Linked DNA regions of Schizosaccharomyces pombe. The protein of the gene in region 2 interacts with the protein of the main gene of each other region in a pairwise test. Each region holds a gene or a part of one and is shown on either strand. Other genes may lie near its edges.

Region 1 (2,851 bases), 1.3 Mb from region 2:
AAACTCGATTGTACGAAGTACCCAAGAATCGTAGCTATCGTTGCAGGAACAGGAATTGCTCCTATATATCAATTAGCTCAGTCTGTTAAATCCCCAGTCGATATTGTATACTGCTCAAGGCCTGGTCAGCCCCCTTTGCTAAAAGAAGAATTGGAAAAGGAATGCCCAAACGTAAGGGTGAAGTCCGTCCAAAATCGTTTGGTAAACATTCATGACATTTTGGATTGGGATAATGTTACAGTTCCTTTAAAGGATACCCTTTGCATTGTCTGCGGTAGCCAGAAGTTTGTTTCTACAATTGCCGGACCGAAGGCTGATTATGGCGCAAGACAAGGAGAAGTCAAAGGACTTTTATCAAACAATCCGTTTGGGAAAGTTTGGAAGCTTTAGTTTAGAAATTTTTGGCTTAAGATTTTGGGTTGCACGATCTTTGGACAATTGTGCATAATACAAAAACGATTTTTTTGTTTATCTTCAAATAATTTATTTTTACCGATTTGGAAATAAATTTATACAAATAAGGGAACTCTTAAACGTTACGTGTTATCAATGAAATGGAGCGGTTTTCTTAGGTAATGGAGAGAAAATAAAAAAAATAGTATTTAAAAAGTTTCTAAGTGTATAAATTTTTATCCATTAAATCTAATTGTTATTGAGGGTTTATGCATCTGCTGCTAAGCAGGTATAGTATGTCAAAAAGAAAGCCCATACAAGCAAAATATCTTTAAATAATTAATTGCATAAAATGTGAACGAGGGAAAGGTTCATTTTCAACTCGCATATAAACAAGCATTAATGCAAAAACTCATCAACTGCTTCACTAGTAATATCTTCAGAATCTCTAGCTTCAAATACTTTGTGCACCTGCGACACATCTTGAAACCAGACTTTAGCAGAAGCATAAATCATAGATAAGTCATTTGGGGTAGCACTTGGTCTCCAGTATATCATAAACAATGGAGTACTAAGTCGACCATCTGTGGTTTTGGTAGGATAGGAAACAAGGATAAATCTAGGATTTGTTTCCGAGAGTTCATCTGCGACCTCTTCAATACTCTGTAAATCCATGATTTCTCCATCGGGAACAATCTCCTTAGTAGCTTTATCAACCTTGAGAATGAAAGCATACATAACTGATTTCTTCAACCGCAAACGAAATCGATCAATTTCTTTCATCGTGGTATCCGAAATGGTGAACATACGAGCCTCTGATGACATCTTTCTTGTTAGTTTATAATATTTATGTAAAACCACAGCAATAGCCAATTAAGGAAATTTAATTTCGAGGGTGGTGCTTTTGTTGGGTTGAATTAATACCGTTCGTGCAGAATCCTAAAAGATATTTAAATTCATGCTAGGAGTTAAAAATTTATTTTTGAGTTTTGATAGATAATTATTGATTTTTTAAATACAAATTATTCATCAATTTTATTATATTCAAAAAGTCTATATCCACGTATGTGATATCTTTGAAGTTCGTAAATTGGCAAATTTAAGCATTGTGTTATATTTACAACTTGATAAATAAAAAAAAAAAAAAAAAAAAAAAAAAGAGGATACTTAAGGATAAATATTATATAATACCTAAGATTGAACGAACTAATGTTTTTTTTTAATATTCCTAAGAATATCCTGTTAATGCAATCACTTTTTTAATAACATTCATAAAGTCTTTGGTCATCGGGACTAGCTAATAATACTTTACGACGAAGCGATAAAAATGTATTACTTTAGCAGCTCGAAGTCGAGCGGTAATAAATCAAACACTTAAATTTAAGTACTTATGTAAACTTTACTCTATAATAGGCTTAGGTGTAAAAGTTTATTTTCTTGCAAAAAGCACATACTACACCGCACCATGCTATGTCTGGAGTAGTAAATCTGGGTTTCCCACTTCACCCACTTGGCATTTAGAAAAAGTCCCAAAAACCATCAACATCGTTGTTCGATAATCTTAACGTCTTCCAAAATCCAAACTTAAAATATATAGGATAATTTGTACAGCAATTTGAAGCCCTTTTACTTTTGCTTTATGCTGACAATATTTTAAAAACGAGAAGCCGAGGCAGTGTCGCCATTTACTACAAAGCTGGTATTGCCCTTGTAAGAAATGACTTATGTTACTTATTTGCACAAGCCTTCTTCTATAAGAAACGCCGTGTTTTGTAAATTTGTCAATGCATCCTCCTGGAACGTAATAGTGGCTAAAGTAAATTGTTTGGAAGTCTATAGCTATGAAAATAATCGATTATGTTTAATAACTTCTGCTAATATTTTTGCGAAAATTGTGAATGTAAAAGCTTTTAAGCCTGTTTCATCCCCGACAGATCATATAATCGTTGCAACAGATTCCTTTCGTTATTTTACACTTTTTTGGGATGCCAATGATAACACTGTTTCTAATGGAATAAAGATACAGGATTGCAGTGAAAGGTCTCTTCGGGAAAGTCAATCTGGACCTTTGCTGTTAGTGGATCCATTTCAACGGGTTATTTGTTTACATGTATATCAGGGTTTACTGACTATTATCCCAATTTTTAAGTCAAAAAAACGATTTATGACTTCTCATAACAATCCTTCATTGCATGATAATTTTAGTGTGCGGATTCAAGAGTTAAATGTTGTCGACATAGCCATGCTTTATAACTCATCCCGTCCATCTTTAGCAGTTCTCTACAAGGATAGCAAGTCGATTGTGCATCTTTCTACGTACAAAATAAACGTTCGTGAACAAGAAATCGACGAGGATGATGTTGTTTGTCATGACATTGAGGAAGGTAAATTGATACCTAGTGAGAATGGTGGTGTTTTTGTGTTCGGGGAGATGTATGTATACTATATAAGTAAAGAT
Region 2 (4,260 bases):
TATCTGCAAAGTGTCACGGTAACGGGATTTGGAAAACCAAAGATAACCGTAGTTGCGGGAGCAAATAAGTACCATTTAGTGATATTAGTATATTAAAAAACCGTTTTTTGGTTTGTCAAGAAAGTACAGTCGAAGTTATAAAGTGGAAACAACCTAGGAATCTTAAATATTTACGATTCTAGGTTCTGTCATTTGTTAAAGAAAATTCATTCCAAATTAAAAAATAGAGTATTATGCCAATATGCGCTTTTTGCTAAGTCCATCAACTTTTCATGCAAAGATACATGTATTTCATTTTTGACGAGTCTAGGAGAATTCCAAAGAACGACTTTTTTAAAAGGTCTATACTCCATTAAAGAATCTATAAGATACTAAAAACTAAAAAAAGGGCTTTTGATTACCATTATTAAGACAAGTAATATTGAGGACAATTTGGGGCAAGAGGTAAACAAAGTGATAGCAAGAACTAGTAAAACTTAATAGGATTTTAACAATACTCATAAACAAAACTTCGGTTTAACGATTTTGATATTTTCATTTTGCTTCAATAATTTCATTATGCACCATTTCAATGCACGGCATTTGATGAAGAAGAAAGTTCATTCGTTTATTACAAACTATTTCATCCTTCTTTTTCTTTTTTCAATTTATAAAACATTTAAAGAACCCAAATAGAAAAGCCCGAATTGAAAGACATGGTTCATCATTGTTCGTTTTAATAATCAATTTCATTTTTGTATATTTTTTCCTAATAAATCCGTATTTTATCTAAACTTTTAAATTAAATCCAACCCAAAATTCCGTTCCATGAATTAAAATTTTTTGTACACCAGGAAAAGATAAACACAGTAATAAGAGATCCATCACATCTGCTTCATAACCGCTTATATGAAAAATAATGAAAAGCTAAGTTCTTTTATTTTGCAACTTTACTACTCATCAATCTCGTCACCATCTGTAACAGAAGGAATAACCGTTAAAGGGATATTAAACACGAAGCCTGAATTAGGGATGCCCCGCAAGGTTTTCCAACGACCAACGCGAGTTTCTCTTCCGCAAGCAGCGAATACTCTTACCTCTGATTGTTTACCTTTTCCTTGCAAAGAAAGTGAAAGGGAATTGATGCAGCCATAAACTGACAACGGAGTAGCGATTGTTAAAGGTTCAAAAGAACGAAGGCCTTCCGCTATCTTCCATAAACGGATGTTTCCGTCCCAAGAACCAGAAGCAAATAGATTGGAGTATGGGATAGCAGCCAAACTAGTGATCCATCGAGGTTGAGGAGGTATAGTGACAGGATCTGGAGACGTCTCAGCGGAATGACGCCCAGGAGCTAGAATGGGATCTAGTCCATGAGCAAGTGGGTATGTAAAAAGAGGCTTCTTACGTTGAACAGACCAAAGTGCAATAACTCCATTATCGCTTCCAGTAACGAAATGGTCTTCATCAATCATTGCCACACAATCCACACTACCTTCCATATAGCCTGCAGTTGCTTTCATAGAAGTACCTCCACTACGAAATACCAGTTGAGACTCCTCAACAATTTTCCACAGACGCGATGTCCGATCTCTACCACCTACACTGACACATCTTTCCCGAGCTAATGCATCCACTCCAAAAATAACATCCTGATGTCCAAATAGCGTTTCAATATAAGACATTTGATCCAAAGACCATACCTTGATGGATCGATCAGCGGAACAACTAAACATTTCATTGGTTCCTCTTCGCATGGCTAATCCCATTACTGCGTCCCGATGATGTTTCCAACAATGTTGAGGCTCAAGTGTCACACTATCACGAATGACAATTCGATGGTCCAAACCTCCAGTAACGATCCAACGACCATCGTTGCTAATTGCTAGGCAAGTGATTTCTTTTACATGATCGTTCTCTCCTCTTCGGCTGCGAGAGAATTTGATCGGTCTGAAGTGCAATTTTATAGCTTTCCCAATTTCATGATCGTCATTTTCCCTATTTTCAGTATCTTTTTCTTGCAAAGCTTCCCATTTTTGGATCAAACCCGATTTATCAGCACTATAAACAAAATTTTCGTATGCTACCACTCCAACTAGCGGACGCATGTGACGGCCTCGCAGCTGAGCTGTTTCGATTTTTACATCAGGATTAATTTTAGAAGTATAGTCTAAATACATTTGTCCCTTCTTTTCTAATACGTCCTCCTTCAATCGACTTGCAAGCAATTCACGATCCACTTCTTTCGCATCGAAACCTCCATCTTCGACCAGTTCGTTCTTGACCTCGTCTAGATACTCCCTTGCTAATCGAAGCCTTTTTTCTGCTGCAGTCTCATAAGTATCTTCATTTTCCTCATCAATTTCGTCCTCAAAGCCATTGAATTCGGATTCTGATGATATAGATGCTAAATCTTCATTAGCGGGTCCATTCCTCTCCAATTTTTGATTCTCTTTTTCTCTTTTTGAAGTAGCACTCCTAGCTTTCCTCTTTCTATGCTCTGGACGTGTAAAGAAAGGATCAGACATGCTTTCTCTAAGGGTACCAACGGTTCGTAAATTTCTGTATCTTCAAACACCTATATGGTATACTGCCGGTGACTTAATTTTATTCTCCGAGCATACTCCACAAAAAGTCCGGTGATCCATACAAGAAATTTCCGAAGTTTACCGAGCTAATTCACCGAATTTCTTTTCATGAACAAATCATTACAGAAATATATCTGCTCATTACTATAAATCAAAATACCTTGTCGCGTTTTTTTGTTTTTAAGCTTAAAATAATTATCGTTCTTGTACCAATTTTGTTCGATAGATTTTTAAGACTTACTATTCTATTGACATCTATAGAATTCTGCTATCGGCGCATCTATTTATGGTCCAATGGAATTAACAAGAGCTAAACATATTGCTTTCTTTAAGAGACATCTTATACTATTTCCTACTCCATACGAAGAACACGATTGCGAAAGAACAGTGTTAGCATTCTTTTGTTTATTAGGATTAGACTTGCTAAATGCATTGAACACCATAGATGATGACGATAAAAAAAGTTGGATCGAGTGGATCTACAAAAACTATGTAACGAAAGAATCTAAAGGAATCAAATACTCCGGTTTTCAGGCGTATAGAACTGGCATTCAACCCATCTCATTCGAACAGGAGCCGCAATTAGCTGGGACTGTGTTTTCAATTTGTTGCCTTTTATTTCTTGGCGATAATCTTTCTCGTATCGACCGCGATTTAATTAAGAATTTTGTGGAGTTGTGCAAAACTTCGCAGGGTCATTTTAGAAGTATTGCTGTGCCATCATGTTCGGACCAAGACATGCGACAGTTATATATGGCTACGACTATTGCTTCGCTTCTTGATTTCTCTCTGTCTGACCCTTTATGTTCTATCCAATATATTAAAAGCTGTCAACGCTATGAAGGCGGATTTTCTTTGTTACCATACGGCGAAGCCCATGCTGGAGCTACATTTTGCGCGTTAGCATCATGGTCTTTAATATTGAAAATGATTCCAAATTCCTCTTTGAATACTTCTAATCAATCATATAACTTAATGGATTGTGTGCCTAAAGTAGAACGCCTTATCAGATGGTTAGCTTCTAGACAATTATCATCTGGAGGATTAAACGGAAGGACGAATAAAGACGTTGACACCTGTTATGCTTATTGGGTTTTGAGTTCATTAAAACTCCTTGATGCTCTGCCTTTTATCGATGGGGGTGAGTTGGAAAAATATTTATTATTGCATGCTCAACATGCTTTGGGCGGATTTTCTAAAACACCAGGTGAGTTTCCTGATGTTTTACATTCTGCACTTGGTCTATATGCAATGGCTTATCAAGATGATAAGTCTTTTCCTAAAGTAAATGCAGATATACATATGACTTCCAAGTATATAAACATTTGTAGAGACTGTATTCAAGCAGCCAAGGGGAAATGATAACTATATTATGATGATGAATTGTCGAAGAAAACTAAACAATAGACTATTAACTTAGAAACAACGTGATCAATCACTTGACTATAAAAACCTAAAGACACTCTAACAATATAAATTTGACTCAGTAACTTTAATTTTCTCTATTCGTGTTTTTAGAAAGTGGAATTCGATTTGCTCGTCTTTTCATTCGTCGCTTTCCGGCTTTTATGGAAGCCTCTTTCTTCGAAGGACTGGAGAAGCTAGATTTATGGACACTATCACTTTTCTCTTCATCTTCCATCTGTCCATCACTATCCGTATCTTCGGACGATGCAGGTGCTCTTGCAAACCA

Evidence for each region. Proteins that work in one complex are often made in the same cells at the same time.
Region 1: the proteins of rrp9 (region 2) and gmf1 interact in a two-hybrid assay, tested with the Schizosaccharomyces pombe proteins (one large-scale study listed by BioGRID).

What each region holds. Positions count from the first base shown.
Region 1 is NC_003424.3:2,023,702-2,026,552, reverse strand, and holds gmf1 (actin regulatory protein gmf1), read right to left. Parts: upstream 1,303-2,851; 5' UTR 1,219-1,302; coding exon 793-1,218; 3' UTR 501-792; downstream 1-500. Other genes in the region: cytochrome c-heme-linkage protein Cyc2, read left to right, coding at 1-390; protein Ddb1, read left to right, coding at 2,111-2,851.
Region 2 is NC_003424.3:3,327,609-3,331,868, reverse strand, and holds rrp9 (U3 snoRNP-associated protein Rrp9), read right to left. Parts: upstream 2,529-4,260; 5' UTR 2,508-2,528; coding exon 933-2,507; 3' UTR 653-932; downstream 1-652. Other genes in the region: geranylgeranyltransferase type 1 beta subunit Cwg2, read left to right, coding at 2,862-3,929; DNAJ domain-containing protein Erj5, read right to left, coding at 4,060-4,260.